3 linked regions of the Coturnix japonica genome follow. The protein of the gene in region 1 interacts with the protein of each later gene in a biochemical or structural test. Links are inferred from orthologs where the notes say so. Each region holds a gene or a part of one and is shown on either strand. Other genes may lie near its edges. The genes, in order: MAPK1, DUSP1 and DUSP3.

Region 1 (3,746 bases):
CTGATTAGAAGTCATTAGCATCTGATGCTCTTTATGACTCTCTTAGGATGGCTCCCAGTGGATCAGAGCTCATATCCGAGCAATTTCAGTTTGTGTCACATTCATCACCATGGTTGCTGACTGCCTTAGAAGTTAAAATACATCTTTATAGAATGCCTTACATGTCTTACTTCTCTTTCTTCTCCTCCAGGCAGAGGCTTGAAGTCTCCTTAAATAACACTTGGAAAATTGCTTTCTGTACTGGATGTCTGCATTTGGTTTGGACGACGGGGCACTGGGAGCACAGCACTGAGCACAGCACTGAGAGCACAGCACTGAGCACAGCACTGAGAGCACAGCACTGAGCACAGCACTGAGAGCACAGCACAGAGAACACAGCACAGAGCACAGCACTGAGAGCACAGCACTGAGCACAGCACTGAGAGCACAGCACTGAGAGCACAGCACTGAGCACAGCACTGAGAGCACAGCACTGAGCACAGCACTGAGAGCACAGCACTCTCCCTGCTTCTCCCAGGCCCCTTGTTTCTTTTACTTGTTACCTTTAAGTTTCCTTTACTTGTTTCTATAAACTACCTTTAAGTTTCCTGCATCACTGTTCAGTTTGAGTTTTAGCAGAGAAAACGAAATCCCCAAGAGCAGCACTGTGGGGCAGCTGTTTGTGCTTTTTCTAAGCCCAATGATGCTGTTCATTTTCTTCTCTCCACTCGTCATTACCCGCCGTCATTTCGTGGTATCAGCATCCCCTCAACATAACGCCGTGTTTCAGCCATCAAACCAATGACCTGCTTGAGACACCTTCCCATTCCTTCTGTCACTGATGCTTTAATGTCAGCTCAGACAGACGGCCCGGCCCGGCTGCGTGTGACAGCACCGTGTGTGACAGCACCGTGTGTGACAGCACCGTGTGGGCGCGGGAACGCGCACGTAGCGCCGGACACGGAGCCGCGGGAACGGCTGCGTGTCCGGCCCAGAGCGACGCGCACGGAGCTCGTCCCCGCACGGTGCTCGTACCCGCCGTGCTCGTCCCGTCCCGTCCCGTCCCGTTCCCCCCCATCCCGGTCTCCATTTCCTCCCGCCATCACCTGACTCCTCTAATGGCGGCGCTCGGAGCGGCCGCGCCCACCACGTGACCCGCCGCCCACGTGACCCGCGCGCCGCGCCCCCTCCCCGTCGGTTGCGGTTACCGCAGTCCGAGGCCCCCCCGGTCTCGCCCCGCCCCCCGCCCCCTCCCGTCCCGTCCCGTCCCCGCTCTGGTGGCGGTGGTTGCTCGGCGGGTCGGTTCGTTCCGTTCTCCGCGGCCCGTTCTCCGGCCGGTGCTTCTCAGCGCGGTGTGGCGGAGCCGCCTCCTTCCTCCTCGCTCCCTCCTTCCCGTCCCCTCCTTTCTCCTCCCTCCCCTCCCCGCACGCAGTCGCCGCGGTTCCCGGCACGGACAACATGGCGGCGGTGGCGGGGGCCGCGGCCGCGGGCGGCTCTACCGGCACCGGGGGCCCGGAGATGGTGCGGGGCCAAGTGTTCGACGTGGGGCCGCGATACACCAACCTCTCGTACATCGGAGAGGGGGCGTACGGCATGGTGTGGTGAGTACGGCATGGTGTGGTGAGTACGGCATGGTGTGGTGAGTACGGCACGGGGTGGTGAGTACGGCATGGGGTGGTGAGTACGGCATGGTGTGGTGAGTACGGCATGGGGTGGTGAGTACGGCATGGGGTGCTGAGTACGGCACGGGGTGGTGAGTACGGCACAGTGTGCTGAGTACGGCATGGGGTGGTGAGTACGGCTCGGGGCGCTGTGTGAGTGCGGCCGGGAGCGGCCCGCGCGGCCTCGGGGCGGGGCAGGTGAAGGTGAAGGCCGGGCGGCCGCCGCTTGCCCTGCCCTGGGCCCTGCCCTGCCCCGCTGTGCCCTGGGCCCCGCTGTCCCTTTGTGCGGCGCTCACCTGGCTGCTGCTGCTGCTGCTGCTGCTGCTGCCCGGGCCTCCCGCTGCGGCTGCGGCCGGGTGGCTCCGCTCGGCCCTGCCCGGCTGGCAGGCGGCGGCCGGGCCGTGTGTGCGCGTTCTGCGCCGACCGGTCCGAGCTCCGAGCGCCAACCGCGAAATGCGGGACAACGATCGCGAGATTTTGGCGTTGTAGCAGCGGCCCCGACGTGCCGGGCCGAGCCGCGGTGCTGCCGCTGAGCTCCGGGCTGGGCCGGCCGTGCTCGGCTCGGGGCACCTGCTCTGCATGGGCGGCTGTGGATGGGAAACGCAGCTCCTCGTTGACGGGCCCATCGCGGCGCTTCCCGGTGTGTTGTGTGACCGGAGGTGCTGTGTGACACTCGCAGCTATGGTTGTGTAGCAGCTTTGCTTTCTCTCTCTGTCGGTTCGTGCTTTGTAAACCGCAGTGTATCGCTCAGCAGAGCTGCCTTGCTGCCTTCAGCTGCACGCTGTGGATCTGCAGGTTTCCTCTCGCAGCTGTGGGGATGTGCTGCTCCGTCACGGTGAGGCCGAGCTGTGTTGGTGGGAGCTGGAGCCGCTCCTGAGCTGCTGGGGAGGCAGACAAACATCTGCCAGGAACTTTAAAGCTGCGGCCTTTGCTTTTGTGTTGTGGGAAGAAGCTCCAGCACATAAACCAAAAAAAACAAAAGCTCCCGTTGATGGTGTAAAAATAACCTTGTTATTGGTTTAGTGCTGGAAGTCACAACAACGGCCCGTCCAGAGCTCGTGTTCCAGGTGTTGTTATTGTGTGCCTTTATCAGCGGAGCCGGGTGGCAGCTCGCAGCCCCAGCAGAGCTTGGTGCCCGCAGAGCGATCCAGGCAGGAGCTGTGAGCAGCGCCGTGCCGTGCGGTACCGAGGTGGTGCCGCAGCCGGCTGCTCACGCTGAGATGTTTGTGCACGGCGCAGTGCGGTGGCAGCTGATGCCCTTTTTTGGCGTCACCGTGATTGGGAGCAGACAGGGAAACGGGGTCCTTCTCTTCCCCTGCACACGGTGTGTCACTCCATTCTGTTATGGAAGGGTTTCCTCTCTGAAACTGTGGAATATTATCGTCTGTTTGGAAACTTGCCATATTAAATGATATTCTGCTTCAAATGCTATCTGTATTTCTTAACAAAAAATTCTGAATCTCCAGTTTAGTTGAGATATTCATTTGGCTCCTTTGTTTTCTTCTCTAAAGCTGTTGGTGTGAAATCCTGAACGTGATACATTGCACTGTAATTATTGATCTTCTGCCTTGGGTGTGAAATGCCAGGGAACAAAGTCTCAGTTTATGCGTGTTTGACAAAGGAGGTGCTGGATGCACATGTTCCAGCTGAATGCCATAGCAACTGTCATGCCTTGCAGCGCAGCACACCGACTACTATGGTTAAGTAACAGTGCTTACTGAGCAGTGCAGGTAGAGCTTATGCAGATTCGTACTGCGTGTCCCGGGTCTTGCTTTGACTGTAACGCAGTGCAGATCTGCAGAGCATCTCCCTTCCGGGCTGGGGTGGCAGAGGGCAAAGCCACAGGGTGCAGGTGGAGACAGCTCCTGCTATTGAAAAGCCATTTAGGTTTGTACTCTTAAGAAAGGACAGCAAGGCAAGCGTTAATGGCTTTGTTTTAGGCAGTCAGCTGATGTGTATGAGACAGAAGGTGCTGGTTATTTCTAAATGCATTGTGCTGTAAGGCTTGCTATATGCAAAATGGGTGGCTTAACTCTTAGTGGAATCCCTCACTCGCTTATTTTTCACAAGTGTTATGTTTCCACATCGCTGAATTAGGGAGTTCAT
Region 2 (3,746 bases), on another chromosome or scaffold:
CCCTGCAGCACTGAACCTGATGAGGTGCCGGGCTGGTTTTAGGTCAGGATGGATGAAGATTGGTGGAAACTGGTGGAGAAGCAACTGGAAAATTCGAGAAGGCTGAGAACCGACAGGCTGCAGGGCTGGGGGATGGGGAACTGTCAGGGGGGTGGGAGAGGATGGCTGGGGGATCTGGGGTGAAGAAAGGAAGTCTGAAAGGAAGTGATGAGAGAAAGCTGCTGAAAGCTAGAGATTCTGAATGGTGCGAGGAAGGAGCAACGCAGGTGGAGCAGGCGAAGAGGGATTGCTGGGAAGGGACTGGGGGAGAAGGGCTGAAGCCAGGGATGGTGCTGGCGTGTGGGGCAGGGGAGAAGTGCTGGGGAGGCAGGGGAAGTGAATGCGGCGCTGACGGGAAGCGGAAAGCAAGAAACAGCTGAGTGCTGCGGTGGAAGCTGAGCGCCCACGGGGAAAGGCAGACTTTTGGGAAGTGCTGAGACAACACCAAGGGGGGAAAAACAGAGCTCCAATGGCTTCACTGCCGGGTACTGGGCTGCCCTGACTGCTGGGGAACCTGCTGTGCGGAAAATGAACCTCCCCAGGTCTACTGCGAGATTATCCTTACATATGAAACATGAGAACAGCTCTCAGATACGTTTACATTATACATATACATGCAAATATACGCACACATGTGCATATATTGATGTGTAGATGTGTCCGTACACGCATATATGCCTATGCACAAACACCAATCCCTGTCTGTGTGCGCTTATCTCTATGTGCTGCAGGAGAACCTGTAGGACTGCTCCCACGCCTGCATCCACTCACGGTGCTGCTGTTGGACATGTGAACACACTCACATACGTGTGTGTGTGTGTATATATATCCATGGTGTGTGTGTGTGTGTTTCGTATTTATATAGCCATGGTGTGGATGTTTGGTTCTCGGATATGTATATATCCATGGTGTGTGTGTGTGTATATATATCCATGGTGTGTGTGTGTGTGTATATATCCACGGTGTGTGCCTGTATGTAGAGAAATGTGATAGCTTTGGGTATTTATATGTGTGTATAAGTGTGTTTATGCACTTGTATGTGTATATATATCCATGGTGTGTGCCTGTATGTAGAGAAATGTGATAGCTTTGGGTATTTATATGTGTGTATGTTCAGGCACGTGTAACATGTAACCCTATCTATGTGTGTATGTCTATACTCTTACACACACACAAACCAGCGCGCCCCCGCGCCTCTCAGTTCGCGCCGGCGCGCTCCCGCGCCGATGACGTCATACCGGCGGTGCCGGGGCGCGCCCTGTTTGGCGCGCCTCCAAGGTGACGTCTGCTCCCAGGATCACGTGACCCGGCCCCATTGAGAAAACGGCGGCGGCGCGGCGCGCCACGATATAAGGCGGGTGGGTTCGCACGGGGCCGCGCTGAGTCGCGTCCAGCCGCGTCTGATCCCGCTGTTCCGCGAGCTCCAGCGCTTTGTTTCCCCGCCATCCGAACCGGACGGAACCGAGCACGGGACCATGGTGAACCTACGTGTGTGTGCGCTGGAGTGCGAGGCGCTGCGGGGGCTGCTGCAGGAGCGCGCCGCTCAGTGCCTCGTCCTCGACTGCCGCTCGTTCTTCTCGTTCAACGCCGCTCACATCCGCGGCTCCTGCAACGTGCGGCTCAGCACCATCGTCCGTCGCCGCGCTAAGGGCGTGCTGGCCCTGGAGCACGTTGTACCCAACGAGGAGCTCCGCACCCGGCTGCGCCAGGGGCAGGTTCACACCGTGGTGCTGCTGGACGAGCGCAGCGCCGACCTGGAGCTGCCCAAGCGCGACAGCACGCTGCTGCTGGCCCTCGGCACGCTGTGCAGGGAGACCCGCGGTGCCCGCATCTGCTTCCTTAAGGGTGAGTGCGCGGCCCCAAAAGCCGCTGCGGGATGGGGTTGGCCGTATCGCCGGCTGAGGGCTCTGCCCGCCCCGCTCCACGCCGCGCTCACCCCGCGCCTCTCTCCCCTGTGCCCCGCAGGAGGATACGAAGCGTTCTCGGCCGCCTGCTCCGAGCTGTGCACCAAACCCGCCGCCCCTACCGGGCTCAGTCTGCCCCTGAGCGCCAGCAGCGCGCCCGGCAGCGCCGACTCGGGGTGCAGCTCCTGCGGAACCCCATTGTACGACCAGGTGAGTGCGGGATCCGGGCTGGGGCTGCCCCGCCGCTCGTGGGAGAAAGGACGGGAATCGTAAATCCGCCGAGCGATGTTAACCGGGCATCTGCCCCTTTTGTTTCAGGGCGGGCCGGTGGAGATCCTGCCGTTTCTGTACCTGGGCAGCGCGTATCACGCCTCCCGTAAGGACATGCTGGACGCGCTGGGCATCACGGCGCTAATCAACGTGTCGGCCAACTGCCCCAACCACTTCGAGGGGCACTACCAGTACAAGTGCATCCCTGTGGAAGACAACCACAAAGCCGACATAAGCTCCTGGTTTAACGAGGCGATTGATTTCATAGGTAAATGAGCTTTCCCTGCGATCCTTTTGTCTCGGATGACGTCCCTTCGGGAGTGGCTTTTAGGGCATTGTGCTCCCCAGCGCTGCCTGCGTTTGGGATCGGGGAACCTTTGTTTTAGGTGTTCTTAGGGGATGCGCCCATCACTTTCTCTGGGCTGAGAGAGGGATAATCTCAGCTTTGCCAAACCATTAGAAACCTCGAGCCAAGAGAAATGGTATCCTCTAGAAAAGTGCTAGTGAATTTAAGTGGATCAGTATTAAAGTAATCTTGCAAGACTGCTAAAGTGACCCGGAGGAGCTATTAGTATAATTGGAATTGGAGCCCAGAATGAGAATAGCTAGACTGCAGCTTCCCTCAGGACAAAGGCTCTTTGTCTCCAAAGCACAGGGCTCACCTATTGGGCTCCTAAGGAGGGGATGAAACAAAGAGATGGAAAGCAGCAGCCTTTGCTTTCCCACCTCCAGAGGCAGTGGGACTTGTTTGTTAACTGGGCGTTTTAATTCTTTCAGATTCTGTTAAAAATGATGGAGGAAGGGTATTTGTGCACTGCCAGGCTGGCATTTCCCGGTCGGCGACCATCTGCCTCGCTTATCTCATGAGGACCAACAGAGTCAAGCTGGATGAAGCCTTTGAGTTTGTGAAGCAGAGAAGGAGCATCATCTCCCCAAACTTCAGCTTCATGGGGCAGCTGCTGCAGTTTGAGTCGCAGGTTCTTGCCCCCAACTGCTCAGCAGAAGCTGGGAGCCCTGCTATGTCAGTATTGGACAGAGGAGCATCGACCACCACAGTCTTCAACTTCCCAGTCTCCATCCCTGTTCACACCTCATCCAGTGCTTTAAGCTACCTTCAGAGCCCCATCACCACCTCCCCAAGCTGCTGAAAGGCAGGCAGAAGCGTGACCAGAACTCACAATTCTTGTCTCAGAAGTGCAATAACTATGGGGACAGTATCATCAGCCACTTGTCCTGTGGGGAACCATCCACTTGTCCTAGAACGCTGTTGTACACACGAGGAGCTCAACCAGTGTTCTGTGTGTTGCTGGCTCCTGAAGCCAATATTGGGATGCCTACGCAGAGATCAGAGGATGCTGCGTTTTCCTGAGCTGTTCCCCTTGTCTTCTGTTTGTCCTAAGCCTGCTGCATGTTCAGTAGCCTGCTCACCAGTATTCCCATTCCTGGACACTTTAAGCAACACTGATGTTGTCCCCTTTCACGACAGTCCTATTTATTTATTTTTGTTAGTTCATTGTTTTGCCTTCATGAACC
Region 3 (3,746 bases), on another chromosome or scaffold:
ACAAGCAGCAAAAAAAAAAAACAAGAAGAAAAACAAGTTTTATTCAATGATTGCTAAGTTATGTCCCGAATACTCAAACCCACAAACAATAAAGAGGCAACTTAGTTCAGGTTATGCTTACTAAGCAGGTTATACTCCAGTGTATCCATGAGCACACAGATACTAAAGTCAAAGCCTCTCCTTTACTTTGATGCTTGGTACATGCATCGAAGCCTTTATTTAACACTCTCCAAGCACCAGTTTTCCCTTCCAGCTCATCAGCAGCCTCTCCCAATGGTTGTTATTGCTGTAAAGCACCTTTTACCAGCTACACAACCTGCAGAGGTTTCCATTCCACAGCAAAGAGGCACATCCCTGTGTGGTTATGAGGTTTCCTATTGCCCCCAGCAAGGCTCTGCTCAGAACACAGCCAACACACACAGTACAGCCCCTATAGGAGACCTCTATATCAAACGTACCCATATTGCAAGCTGCACCGTGTGGCCATTCACCACCATCTTCTTCACTTTAAAATCAACACCTAAGATGCAAAATAAGATAGGGAAGGCTGTGGGATGTGGAAGAAGAGGGGTGTCTGCAGCTCCTCACTGCCATCCCCCCATGGGATGGCTCCTCACAAGCCCCCATCCCCTCGCACCCAGTGTCCCTTCATAGCACTCCCTATCCCCACAGCACCCTATACCCTCCCAGCACTCCCCATCCCCATACACCCAATGTACCCTCATAGCACTCCCTGTCCCCCCACTGACCCTATATCACACCCAATATCACCCCAAAACCCCATAGCCCCCATTCCCTCACATCCCCCCCCCCCAATCTCGGCTCACATATGGTCGGTTTCAGGTTCGGCTCGAAGGAACCCTCAGCGAACCTCAGCAGGAGGCTGCAGGAACACAACACCGGCACTCAGCATTGAGATACACAGCGAGGAGCTGCAAGTCCAACATCGACCTAACCCAACCCGACCCGGTCCGGCCCCACCTGGACTTCCCTACGGCGCTGTCTCCGATCAGGATCAGCTTCACAGTGATGCCGTTCCCGTCCATGTTCATCCCGGTACCCGCACAGTGCCCGCTGTCGGTCCGCTCCGGCGGAGCAGCTACTCCAACTCCTCCCCTCGATCGGGCGGTACCGGGCGGGGCGGAACGGGGCGGAACCGATCAGCGGAGCTAACGGGGCCGTACATACGGCTTGGCCTGGCCATGTCCGATTACAGGATCTCGGTAGAGGAGCTGAACGATCTCCTGGCGAACGGCAGCGGTTGTTACAGCCTGCCCAGCGCTCACAGCAACGAGGTGGTGCCGCGCATCCACGTGGGGAACGCGTGAGTGCGCCGGGCTGGGGCCGGGCCGAGGTGGGCGGCCCACGAGGGGCTGCGAGCAATGGGAGGGGCCCCCCGGCTGCCCCCAGGGCACCCCCAGCCTCCCTAGGGAGCTACGGGGACCGGCAGGGCTTGGCAAGCTATAGGGCCAGAGCACGGCGCTATACGGGCTCCTATGGCACCCAGCGGGTGCTGCCCATAAATGGTACCTGCTGCAGAACCCGGCTGAGGGTGGAGGGGTTGAAGTGCAACTCAGAGTTCAGGAGTGAGACACGTCCGTCCCGTGCTGGGTTTGAAGTTCCTGATTTCTTCTAAGTCCTTCTAATATTGGGGGGTTTATTGGTGTTTGTAAAGTGTGGGAGGCAAAAGGATATGGCCAGCCTCTTATCAGCGGTCTCTATAGACAGGACAAGGGGAAATGGGCACAAACTGGAGCATGGGAAGATCTGCACCAACATGCAAAAGAATTTCATGGTGAGGGTGATGGAGCCCTGGAATGAGATGGTGGGGTATCCTTTTACAGAGATATTCCAGCCCCATATGGATGCCAACCTGTGCAGCCTGATGTAGGGGGCTGTTTGTACAGGGAGTTGGACTCAGTGAAGGTCCCTTCCAACCCTTGCAGTTCTGTGATTCCCCTTTTCCTTCCTATCCTTGCCCACAGATATCCAAGGGTTGAGATGACAGGGCAGCAGTAGCTGTTGTGCACACAGAGCTGCTCAGGCCTTGTGTCTGCAGTGCATTCCTGTATCCCATTCTGCTCCAGCATCTGCTCGTGTCAGCTCTGTGCTCAGCTCACGTCTCCATTTCAGCCTTCACTGCACAAACATTAGGATCTCTGTGGAGCTGCTGTATGGGGGGGGGAGCAGGAGAATAAGGCGATGCAGTTGTTTGCTCTGACAAACCTCCACGCTCTGGCTTGGAGGGATCAAGCACTGCCTGCAATGTGAGGCCTTTCCCACAGCTACCAAGGGCAGGGATTTGATATCAGAGAATATATGGAGTAATGACATCCACAAAGAGTTTTACCTACGAACGACTCATCCTTGGGTAAAAGTAACAGTGCTGAGACATTCAGGAGGGTGAGACTGAATGGGGTCACAGCGTGGGATGGCAATTTGTCTATCAAGTGCCACGTCTCCCATGGAAGGTATCAGTAATGCAGACACAGAGGTGAAATGACAGAGCTTTTGTGTAGCACAGCAGACAGGTTGTAAACTTCCATAGCGATCAAAGAGTTCTGAAGATGAGTCAAAGTGTAACATCGCTAAAACAAGAACTATTAGATTCGTTCACACAAGTGTGTTTTTCAAGCAGACAATTCAGATGATATCAGAAGTACAAATAATTTCCTATCACTGCCAAAATCAGGATGCAGTTGAGTGTAACCTTGTAGTCAATGAGCGGAACAGCTGGACAGAATGCATCTTCACCAGGCTTGCAGAGCACATAGCTGGGTTTTCTGGCTGTTTAAATGTGTATGGTCAACCCACAAAGCAATTCTTGGGGCTCAAAGTGCAGTAAGGAATCTGAAAGGCATTCTCCCCAAATTAACATTAAATTGAGTGGTAAAGGAGCAATTTAGTGAGAACATAACAGTAGAAAACTGTCCTGTCGGGCAGTTCTTGCTCCATATTATAGATGTGGTTTATTTGCTTGGGTGAGTGGATGCAAAGCAGGTTCACATTGATCCCAACCACAATCAGATATGCATTGCTCCTTGTGCCATGTGCTCACTGCATTAAGCAGAGGGACTCACAGGTGCATTAACACATGATAGGGTGATGGGTGATGGTGTTTTGGCCTTGCTCTGTAGTATTTACTCCTGCATTGCAAGCAGAATTCCCTGGGCACTGACACTTGTCCCCTGGCACAGATGATGTCCTGCCAGATGGAAAAGATCTGTCAACATTTGTTTGGGTAATGAAGTCTTTACAAATGCTTGGCCCCTTGCCGCAGTTGTTTGGCACCGAGAGGAGATGGAGAAACTTCACTCATGCATAAGGATTCGTGCATAAGGATAACTTAAGGGGTGAACGATCATTGGGAGAAAAGGAATGCTCTGCTCTACATGTTCACATAGCCTTGAATTGGGTGATAACCATCCCATGCAACCATATAGTGTGATAACATATATCTTACTTTCTGTGTTTCAAAATGCTTCTGAGAAGCAGCATTGGTGGCTTCCAGCAGAGGCTGTTTGTAACTGGTTCTTAAATTAACATATGGTTAATTATGGTTATGGTTAATCATAGCGTTTCTGTTATCCCCTGTATTTTCTTAGTATGGTCAGAATTGAATGGTCTGGGTTAGAAGTGCCATAGTAGGGAGTGGAGGATTGAAGCCCAGTGTTCTCTGTTCAGCTGTCAGCCAGGAAAGGAACATTCTCTGACACACAAGTAGTGACCAAAGCCCTAAATATTTC

The links.
Region 2: of the proteins of MAPK1 (region 1) and DUSP1, one has a biochemical effect on the other in vitro, tested with the Homo sapiens proteins (2 studies listed by BioGRID and IntAct). The link is inferred for Coturnix japonica from reciprocal best matches to the Homo sapiens genes MAPK1 and DUSP1.
Region 3: of the proteins of MAPK1 (region 1) and DUSP3, one has a biochemical effect on the other in vitro, tested with the Homo sapiens proteins (2 studies listed by BioGRID and IntAct). The link is inferred for Coturnix japonica from reciprocal best matches to the Homo sapiens genes MAPK1 and DUSP3.

The regions. Positions count from the first base shown.
Region 1 is NC_029530.1:386,080-389,825, forward strand, and holds the start of MAPK1 (mitogen-activated protein kinase 1), read left to right. Parts: upstream 1-1,213; 5' UTR 1,214-1,437; coding exon 1,438-1,580; intron 1,581-3,746. UniProt on the Homo sapiens protein: Serine/threonine kinase which acts as an essential component of the MAP kinase signal transduction pathway. MAPK1/ERK2 and MAPK3/ERK1 are the 2 MAPKs which play an important role in the MAPK/ERK cascade.
Region 2 is NC_029528.1:10,950,935-10,954,680, reverse strand, and holds the start of DUSP1 (dual specificity protein phosphatase 1), read left to right. Parts: upstream 1-1,373; 5' UTR 1,374-1,514; coding exon 1,515-1,884; intron 1,885-2,004; coding exon 2,005-2,153; intron 2,154-2,261; coding exon 2,262-2,481; intron 2,482-2,990; coding exon 2,991-3,361; 3' UTR 3,362-3,746. UniProt on the Homo sapiens protein: Dual specificity phosphatase that dephosphorylates MAP kinase MAPK1/ERK2 on both 'Thr-183' and 'Tyr-185', regulating its activity during the meiotic cell cycle.
Region 3 is NC_029542.1:2,873,801-2,877,546, forward strand, and holds the start of DUSP3 (dual specificity protein phosphatase 3), read left to right. Parts: upstream 1-1,202; coding exon 1,203-1,324; intron 1,325-3,746. Other genes in the region: ras-related protein Rab-18-B-like, read right to left, coding at 459-520, 828-883, 982-1,052. UniProt on the Homo sapiens protein: Shows activity both for tyrosine-protein phosphate and serine-protein phosphate, but displays a strong preference toward phosphotyrosines. Specifically dephosphorylates and inactivates ERK1 and ERK2.